Mus musculus: one gene and its partner. The protein of the gene in region 1 purifies or fractionates together with the protein of each later gene. This does not show direct contact. Links are inferred from orthologs where the notes say so. Each region holds a gene or a part of one and is shown in the gene's direction. Other genes may lie near its edges.

Evidence for each region. The genes of interacting proteins can lie anywhere in the genome.
Region 2: the proteins of Cox6b1 (region 1) and Chchd4 purify together in Homo sapiens (co-immunoprecipitation; 3 studies listed by BioGRID and IntAct, with this or other methods). This does not show direct contact. The link is inferred for Mus musculus from reciprocal best matches to the Homo sapiens genes COX6B1 and CHCHD4.

The regions. Positions count from the first base shown.
Region 1 is NC_000073.6:30,622,530-30,627,735, reverse strand, and holds the start of Cox6b1 (cytochrome c oxidase subunit 6B1), read left to right. Parts: upstream 1-1,621; 5' UTR 1,622-1,685; intron 1,686-3,122; 5' UTR 3,123-3,130; coding exon 3,131-3,236; intron 3,237-4,220; coding exon 4,221-4,321; intron 4,322-5,206. UniProt on the Homo sapiens protein: Component of the cytochrome c oxidase, the last enzyme in the mitochondrial electron transport chain which drives oxidative phosphorylation.
Region 2 is NC_000072.6:91,470,218-91,475,430, reverse strand, and holds the start of Chchd4 (mitochondrial intermembrane space import and assembly protein 40), read left to right. Parts: upstream 1-2,007; 5' UTR 2,008-2,093; coding exon 2,094-2,115; intron 2,116-5,213. Other genes in the region: Tmem43 (transmembrane protein 43), read right to left, coding at 1,533-1,544.

The DNA.
Region 1 (5,206 bases):
AGCAGTCAGTGCTCTTACCCACTGAGCTATCTCGCCAGCCCCCCACCCCTTTTTTAAAACAGGGTTTCTCTGTGTAGCCCTAGCTGTCCTGGAACTCATTCTGTAAACCAGGCTGCCCTCAAACTCAGAGATTCTCCTGCCTCTACTTCCCAAATGCTGGCATTAAAGGCGTGCACCACCACTGTCCAGCTAGCTATCTTATGAACTGAATTATGTCAATCCAGAATACAGGTTTTGTGTGTAAAAATTCACTCTAAAAAGGGCTTGGTGCTACACCAAGATCCCAAACACCTAGTGTAATCACTGGAGACCTAATAAAAACTTTCTATTAACTTAAACCCATGTCAGCACTTTAATCCCAGCACTCGGGGAGGCAGAGGCAGGCAGATAAAAATTCGAGGCCAGCCTGGCCTACAGAGTGAGTTCTAGGACACCCATAGATAGATAGATGAGTTTCCAGGGCTACACAGAGAACCCCTATGTGGATGGCTACTCTCAATTATCAACTTGACTATATATAGAATGAACTATAATCCAGAAACATAGGGAACACCTGTAATCCGGACTTGAGGCAGGAAGACAACATGCCTGTAATCTGGACCTTAAGGCTGGAAGACACAGGCTTTTGATCCAGACCTCTAGGAGGAATGACTCCTACAGGTCTTGAAGCACACTTTTATTCTGGGCCATATCTTCTGCTGGAGGCCTATATAAGGACAATGGAAGAAGGGACAGGTACTTGCTTTGCCAGTACTTCCTTTGGAGCCTACTTCTTCTGGATTCCAGTTTATGCAGAAAAGCAGCAGAAACAGCAACCCTCAAGGATCAGAGCAATTCACCACATTGCTTCCAATTATGATGATAATGGACGAAACTTGAAACTGTAAGCCAGCCCTTAATTGTTTTCCTTTATAAGAGTTGCCATAAACCGGGCGTGGTGGCCCATGCCTTTAATTCCAGCACTAGTTAGGCAGAGGCAGGCGGATTTCTGAGTCTACAAAGTGAGTTCCAGGACAGCCTGGTCTACAAAGTGAGTTCCAGGACAGCCAGGGCTATACAGAGAAACCCTGTCTCGAAAAACAAACAAACAAACAAACAAACAAACAAACAAAGAGTTGCCGTAGACATGATGTCTCTTCACTGCAATAAAACACAAACTAAGATTGTCTATCCCGAAAACCCAAATAAATAAATATAAATAACTTTCGAATCAAGGCACAGGGGTAAACGCTTGTTATCCTAACACCTAGTAATCTGTGATCAAAATTTCGAGGCCAGTCTGAGATATACAGCGAAGTCCTATTTCAAAACACAGATTATCTGTGACACTTTTCCATTCCCACTCTGAAGACAGTCTTATGCTTTTCCCTCTGGGAAGGACAGGCAGGTGATAATAACCCATAATTGAACGTCAGGTGCCTTTTAAGAGCAAAGTAAAATCTCGATTGGCCCAGCAACAATAATAAGCAGAAATTTAGCTCAATAGGAGGTCGGGCTTCTTCGGAAGTGGGCGTGGCCAAAGCGGTTTCTGGGCACGCCTCCCGAGGCCAATCTAGCAGCCCGGAGGACTCAGCTCGGCTCCTCCTCTCGCAGCTTCCGGCCAGTCGGAATTCCGCTTCCCGTCTGACATTGGCGTCTTTGCTAAGGGTCACATTGAAGTAACGCTACTCCGGGACAATCTTTAGGTGAGTGTGAAGGGTCGGGATCCTGGGGGAACCTTGTCCGTTGCAGAGAAGCGCCCCGGGGCTTCCCTGACGCCAAGCAGAAACTTCCGGCGGCCACGGGTCCGGTGTCCTGGAGCTAACCATTATAGCCGCCTTTCTTCATGATGGCTAGGTCGCTTTCTAAGCAGTCCCTATTACTCCATCCTTCAGCCCTACAAGTCCCCTTTGATAGCGTTGGGGCTGGAGTGTGAAGCGCCTTACCCGTGGCTATAAGGCAATTCGGATTTAGACCCAGTAAATTGGACTGTGGAGCTTTTAGTTGCGAGTTCACAGGCGTGGCCACCCGCGTTCCAAGGCCGAAGCCTGTCGCCTTGACTCGTGTCTTTCCCCTCAGCGTCATCTTTGATCAACTCTCAAAACTCGAGATATTGTCCAAAATTACTTCCGACACTGAGTCTTTTAAATCCCCCGTGCCCACCTTGCCTCCTTCAATGAACCTGCCCAAATACCCCACTTGTTTGGACTACTTCAGTTGACACTGGCACCTCTGTGGTGTCAAGGTCCCCCAGATGCTCTAGAGACAGTTTCTCTCAGGTCTGTTGATATTGACTATGTCATCTCTTCAGACATATCAAAGCTGAGAGAAGTCGATAAAACTCAAGGAGCTAAAGTATTTGAATGATTGGGGGGGGGGCGGTTTGCGTGGGGTTCTAATCGAATTCCAGTATTTACTTCCATTAGGAATGGAGGCAGCAACGTCAATAGATTTGGTAGCCTGGGCCATTGTCAGCAGGCAAAATCACAGATACCTGACACATGCCAGTTACAAGAGTCACAAATCTTCAGTCATGGTTACCTCCAGTTGTACTTTACTTGTTAAGTCCTTTGAGCTTTTTTTTTTTTTTTTTTTTGGAGCGGGGTGGGGGGGGACACATCTTAGGCAATCCCACAATGCATTTAGGCATATTCTGAGCAAAGTTTGAGTTCATTGGACCTCAGATGAGTGTGTGACGCCAGAAAACTAGCCGGTGACACCAGAAAATCCTTGCAGTGTTTTTGCTGGTGATGGATGAAGCATTATCACTGGGTGCTGTGTGACCTTGGAAAGTCATTTAGACACCCTGTCCCTTGTGTAGACAACAGAGGTAGCAATATCTTTTAGAGTGGCCATGGGGTAGGTATGTATAGAGTACACATAGTATGTGCTGTGCACACAGTGAGCGTTAACTGGAATTTAAGGATGAAGATTGGTTTTGCCAAGGAGACCTCTGTCCAACCCTACTGTGGCTTCTGTACTCAGATATATGGGTTTTCCCTGCCCTTCATCTTTCTGTGTTTGTGAAGAAGGGGGAGATAATGGTTTATTCACATTCAGCCTGTTATTCTGCTCTGGCCTGACATCCCCACACCCAGCACCTCCAGAATGGTTGCCAACATTCCCACTCTGTTTGCATCCAGGAGTCAGGATGGCTGAAGACATCAAGACTAAAATCAAGAACTACAAAACTGCCCCCTTTGACAGCCGCTTCCCCAACCAGAACCAGACTAAGAACTGTTGGCAGAACTACCTGGGTAAGCAGAGTACCATAGTGGGCCTGCCTGGGTCTCCCATGTACCTCCAACCTCAGAAAGGAAGTTGGGGAGCAGGGACATGTGCGTTCCAGCCTGGTTTCCTTCACTCTGGACGTACCCTCTGGAGGGCCCGACCCCTCAAACTAGCTCTCCAGGTCATAAACTTTGGTCTCAACAATAAATTTTTTGAAGAATATAATTATACATGTATATATGAATTACATATACATCTTATGTGTGTGCCACATACACACACAACATACAAGTAAATACAGTATGTAAACAGTTGATTCAGGGGCTGGTGAGATGGCTCAGCAGGTAAGAGCACTGACTGCTCTTCCGAAGGTCCTGAGTTCAAATCCCAGCAACCACATGGTGGCTTAACAGCCACCCGTAATGATATCTGACGCCCTCTTCTGGTGCATCTGAGGACAGCTACAGTGTACTTGATATATTAATAAATAAATCTTTAAAAAAAAAGTTGATTCAGACATAGTCACAATCCATGGATAAAAATGAATATTGCCAGTACTCTGCTCTCAGCTTGCTTTGGGCCCGGTCTTAAACACTGTCCCTTTCCTCTCTCTTTGCTAGAGACATTTGGGGCCCCTGCCTTACTTGAGCCCATGAGACCTTCCCTCAACAAAGAAAAACAAAAAACAAAAAACTAACCATTAACAAGAATTAAAAACCCCGCTGGTACCTGTCCTGTCTTCCTCAGATATGATCAACACTACCTTCCCCTTCCCTAGCCCTGTCTGGACTTCCATAATTCTGATATATGCCCCTCATACTTTGCTGTCATTCCTAGCTCCAGAATGTTCTATATAACTGCCCAGGTCAGGCGTATATAGCTCTTTATGGTGTACTTGTAAGTTTGCATTCCCTCTGTATGTATAAGCAATCTTAAAGCAAAAAGCATTTGTGGATTTTCCTCTGAAATGTGCTTAGTCGGGGTTGATTTGGAACCTCTTTTCTTCACAGACTTCCACCGCTGTGAGAAGGCAATGACGGCCAAGGGGGGTGATGTCTCCGTGTGTGAGTGGTACCGGCGTGTGTACAAGTCCCTCTGTCCCGTGTCATGGGTATGTGCCTCCCGACGGGACCCTTGGGTGGTCAGGTAGGGAGGTAGCAGAGACGAGTATGGCTAGTGAGAGTTCACCTCCAAGGGTCAAGCGAGGACCAGCCATGGAATGTCACTGATCCCTGCTCAGTGAGGGCCCTTAGCCCAGGACCACCCTCCTTGCCCATGCACTGAAGAAACACAGGCTTGGGCTGGGCAGTAGTGGCCCACGGCTTTAATTCTCAGCACTCTTGGGAGGCAGATGCAGGCAGATCTCTCTGAGTTTGGGGCCAACCTGGTCTACAGAGCTAGTTCCAGGACAGCCTGTGCTATACAGAGAAACCCTGTCTCAAAACGCCGAGGGGGAAAAAAGGCCCCCAAACACGTGTCTTAAAATCAAAATGTGCTATTTAATTTGGTGTGGTGGTAGCACACCTGAAACCCTAGCACTCAGATCATGGTGGGCTACTTGAAAACCCTATCATGCTTTTAAAAAGTGAGAGTGTGAAAGAGAGAGAGAGGTTGTACAGCATCCATGTCTGTGCTAGTGCCTGTGGCAGTAAGTAGAGGGTTTGGGCCTGGACTGGAGTTAGAGATGCTTGTGGGCCACCACGTGGTTGCTAGGAATAGTCTGGGTCCTCAGGAAGGGCAACGGGTATGCTTAAATGGTGGGTCTGCACTCCAGCCTCTCAGACTAGGTACTCTGCCCCTTGATTTGCTTTGGCCTCTGGGGTGCTGGTTGCCAGACAGAGTCTTTGTCCTCAAAGTTGCTCTGTGGTCAAGAATGACCTTGAACTCCTGAGATTCCACCTCAGCCTCTTGAGAGCTGGGGTTACAGGCGCAGGCCACCACACCGTGTCTGAAGCAGTGCTGGGATGGACCCATGCTCCCTGCCTGCTGGGCAAGC
Region 2 (5,213 bases), on another chromosome or scaffold:
CACCTGAGATTCTAGCCTCTCACCTCCTCCTATGTCACACCCCCAGCAGTGTACAGTACTGCTAGAGGATACAGGAGACAGGGGGCTAACAGAAGGGACGGCACACACCTCCATCAGTCACCCAAGATAACCTCTTTGGTTCACCAAGATGGAGTTGGTCTATGGCTATCCTGCTGACATTAATAAAAGCTCAAGTCTTCCCAGGAAAGTAATATAACAATAAATGGACAAAGACATCTGAAGATATCCCATTGTGTCTATGTTTGTTAGTGTGAGAATCCAAGATGGTCTCTGCCTACCAAGACTGTGTGGGCTAGCCTCTAAGAGTAACTTTTTCAAGGATTAAGTACCTCCCATGTACCAGGCTCTGTGCCCAGCAACCTTCCTCAAATTTCAAAGTAACTGATCCCATGAGAGAGTAAACCCAAAGGAGTTAGAGTAGAAGAATCTGGATTTGCCTCCGGGCTTGTCTCCAAAGTCTGCCCTCATCAGCACCTTCCCAGGCTGGGGATGTAGCATGCCAAGCTGGCTACGAGCCCCCAAGCAGGTGTCTTCTTCTGGGGAACGGTGAGATATGACGCTGATGAGATGGATCAGAAGGGGTCTGCCTGCTCTTGCCAGGCTGGCCTGCTGGTTGCCTTCTCCTCTGGCTCCAGTGCAGCATTCCTAACCTTTGGTTCTCTTCCCCTGCCAGGGCCAGACAATATGCCAAACAGATATTGCTTGCACAGTGGGTGAAACAAACTCCGGCCTCCCAGGAGGTGAAGTCTGCCGGACTGAGGAGGGGCCTGGGAAGAGGGTGTAACAGGCCCAAGGAGGGCTGTAGTGACACTCTACCAAGGAGGGAGTAAGGGTGTGCCTGGGGCTGGCAGTGCTCCTGAGATGGCTTCAGAGGCGCTTTCACCAGAGGCACTGGTGACTCACCGGCTTCTCCCACACCCAGTCCCCTAGTAGGTGGTGTTGCTCCGTTTGTTGAATGAATGTTAAGATTCACTAGGAAAATTCTTAAGGACTAGTTGCAGTAGGAAGAGGCCAGAGGTCTGGGTGAACTATCCTCAGCTAGGGGCTCTAACCAAATCAGTGCACCAGGAACCCGGCAGCAGAGAAAAGTCTCCCTCTCCACGTCATCCAGCCAGGCTAGTCCAGCTACAGTAGCATCACACAGCCTTTGAGTACACACCCCCTAGGGAGCGAAGACCAAAGAAGCATTTGCTGGACAGTTCCACCTGGGCAGGATCACCTCATCAGTCTGCTCACCAATAGACACTTTCCCCGTGGTCCTTCAGTTCCCCAAGTTCCCCAAGTTTCGTATCCCCAGGGGCCCAGAGAGAAACTAGGAGTGGAAGAAGCAGCCGTGCACGAGCGGACTCGACTAATTGCTGAGGCCCACAAACGCGCAGCCCGAGATGGAGAAGCTCAGAGAGCTGAGGGCAGCTGCACCCACTGGGGTAGCACCCCTGTAAGACCCAGCGCGGATCCAGGGAAAAAGCGGCCCGGATGATGGTGTCACCCGGGCATCAGGAAGCACTTACGTTCGCTGCCATGGTGGGCTTGGTTCGCTGCCGCCGTCTTGCTCTATTCCGCTAGGAATTGGGCTGACGACCGGAACGCAGAATACGGTGACCTCCTGTCTGCCACAGAGCTGCAAGACTTCTCGTGGAATCCAGGACCTGGCGGGACGCAGGACAAAAGTTACCGCCCTGCCTAAGCCTCAAGTTGTCTGCGCGTGCGCATCTTAAGGGCTGCTGGGAAATGTAGTCCGACGTCTGACACGTTCGCCACAAAATTACAAACCACTGTATTTCACTGGTGCGCGTGCGCGCTGCAAGATTTCTGGGAAATGTAGTATCGGTCTAGTTGGAGAGGCGCAAGGGCTGCTGGTCAGTGTAGTTTTCGACTGAGAAGCGGTTCTGGTGCTTAGGACGCGCGGAGGCAGGCGCGCGGCGGGCAGGCCTGGAGGGGGCGGGTCTGTGCGGGCCTCAGTGCCACCCGCCAGGCCTGAGAAGCGGCGAGGGAGGTCACGGCGAGAAGGTGTATCCGCTCCAGCCGCGCCCGCTGCCTCTGCGAGCTGCAGAGGACTGTCGGGAACAACCATGTCCTACTGCCGGCAGGAAGGTGAGTCGGGCGCTGCCATGGAGACCGGCCGGGACGGGCCTGCGAGAGACACGCGATCAAGTGGTCTCCACCGAGCGGCTGTGGGCCCTTTAGTGGGCCTCACGCGGCGGTTTCCAGACGAGAGAGGCAGAGGCTCCGTGAGGAACGAGGCCGGTCCAAGGTCAAGGTGAAGCCCGAACCCGGGCCTCGGAGGGCCTCACGTGGGCCTGGCCAGTGTGGAGCACGTTGTCTCTGGCTGGGAATCGGGGACTGTTAGGAATTAGACACCGTCGCTCCTAGCACTCCCCACGTGGTTCTATCCCGCCCAGGCTTTTTAGCTATCCCGAAAAATTACCGCTTGGGCTAGAGTGGGCGTGCTGAAGTGCATCTGGCAGGAGCATTTAGTGAGCGCCTTCTGTGTACTAGGCACGCTTTTAAACTTAACGTAGCCATTTTTATATGTCGGGTTCCCTTACTGTCCACGTCTTATCAAACGGAAAATTAAGACAGGTTACTCGATCCAGGAACCCACATCAGGTCACGAAACCGGGACCCGCTATGAAAGAGCTTCCTTTCTTCCGTCATTTCTAGCCACGTTGAGGACCACTCACTACCTGTTGTTACCTGTAAGCAGCAACCCAGAAGAATCCAGACCAATCTGTTGCTCTAAGGTCTCCCAGCACTGACTGGCTTCTTATGTCTGAGCTGCCAAACCCGCCAGGCCCTAGTTTCCACTCCTGTAAATTGAGAGATCAGGCGTCATTTACTCTGGTATTCACGAAGCACGTGCCCAAGGCAGGAAAGAGTTGGAGGGCTCTTGAGAATACAAAGCTACAGAGAGACTTGGTTCACCCAGAATTCTCAGCTCCTTTACTCTTAAGTCTAGAGAACATGAGGTACAAAGGAGGAAGTGATCCACCCAAGGCCATACATCCAGTTAGAAGGCCCCAGTCCGCTGTAGAACCCCCTCCTTCCCAGCATCATCATTGGTGCCTCTCCCGAGGACTGTTTCTGTTGGTTAGCACTTGGTGTTCCGCATACGAAAGTCCTTGACCCAGCACTGTTAGGCGGATTCCTAGGATGACTTTTGTTTCCTCCAACCTAGTTGGTAGGTTGATGACGAGTCTTTGAGTTAAGGAGGCTATGCAGATAAACATTTCTACCCCTCTTGATGGATTTACAGACCTCGGGTTTTTCAGGAAGGAGGATGGGTCCATCAGCTGCTAATGCAACATAGAGCCCGTCTTCTTCCTGGTTCAAAAGGTGTGTGTGTATGTGTTTAGTGGTTCTCCGTTTTTGAGACAGTCTCAGTATGTGCCCCTAACTCAAATTCTTCTCTTCGTCCCAAATTCTGGAATTAAAAACACATGCCGCTACCTACAGTCTCTGTGAGTTCAAGGCCAGTGTAAAATAAATTGCATGTTCCAGGCCTGCCAGAGCTACATAGTGAGATCCTGTCCAAAAACAAACCAAAAAATAGTATGTAAGGACTTAGGAGACCATGCGGTGTTATTCTTCCAGTCTCATGTTCTTCCTCCTGCTCCTCAGCTCTTCTGGCTGTGCCCTTTGTCAGGTGCTTTCTTCCTCCAGCTCTCTGAATTGCTAACTTATCCTTTAAGAACCAGCCCAAAGCCGGGCGTGGTGGCACATGCCTTTAATCCCTCACTTGGAAAGCAGAGGTGTGTGGAGTCCTCTGAGTTCTAGGACAGCCAGAGCTATTTTACAGGGAAAACCCTGTCTCAGGAAAAAAAAAAAAAAAAAAAAAAAAAAAAAAAAAAAAAAAAACAAGAGAAATGGGCAGGAGACATGGCTCAGTGGTTAAAAGCACTGACTGCTCTTCCAAAGGTCCTGAGTTCAATTCCCAGCAACCGCATGGTGGCTCACAACCATCTATAATAGAATCTGATGCCCTCTTCTGGTGTGTCTGAAGACAGCTACAATGTACTCATATAAATAAATAAATCTTTTTAAAAGAGAAAGAAAACAAGCAAAAAACCCAGCTTCAATGCCACCAGGTCTTCCCTGATACTTTGTGTCTCTATAAACACACTGAAATTATCTCCCACCAAGCTGAGAGATGGCAGAAGGCCTAGTATACTGTGGGTGTTCAGGATTTAATAGAGTGACCCCAGGCTCATGCCTATCCACCATTCTAATTAGGCAAATGGTTGCCTGGACAGTTATGTCAACAGTCCATACATCTAGTCAGTCTCCAGGTTAAAGACCTCATTGACATTAAGAGAGTCCCACCGTGTGGATGAAGCCTCAGTCTGGCCTTGTGCTCTTGGTGTTTCTGTCAATTCCACACATGGTTCCTTACTTTCCTCCTAATAATAAACAGCCTGCCTCTTTCTGTTCATTCAGCAAACTTTTTTTATTGCAGTGTGATGTGCACTGAGTGAGGTGGCACTTTGGATCTTTACAGAACAAGAAGAAGTTGGCATTAAAGCACTCCGGGATGGATGGGTAGTTACAGACAGCAGGAACTGTGCTGAGACACTGAGGTTCTGCAGGGGTTGCCAGGGCTTGGAAGACCATTTCAGATGCTCTTTCCTCAAACCCTTCCCAGTCTTCAGACCAGGAGAGAATGAACACTGGCTTCTTAGAGCCACCTTTTGCCTCAGGTTTCACTTGGTCTTGAGTTCCTAATCTTTCCTCTACCTCTTTTAGGACTTGTGCGGGCTACTGTGCCTCCTTTATTTAGTGCAGGGATCAAACTTGGACTTTTGTGAGCATGCTCAGCCAGCATACTACAGACTGGGTGATGGCCCCAGTCCTTTTAAACTATCCTATCCCCGGATGGACTCCCAACCCTGGGATTTCCCACCCCACCCTCCACCCCCACTTTCTGTAGACATTCCCTACCCTAGTCAGTTCTTCTCCACTTGATACATGTAAGCTCTGACTTGCTTCCCCCTCAAGTCCTGATACAAGCAGAAAGTATTGAAAGTGTATGGGTATAATAGTTATTTTCCTTTTAAAAAAGGTTTAATTTTTGCATATAAATGTTTTGCCTGACTGTATATAGGTGCATCAATTGTGTGTCTGGTGTCTGGGGTGGTTACAAGAGGACATGGGATCCCATAGAACTGCTCTCAATCACTGAGCCTTGTCTCTAG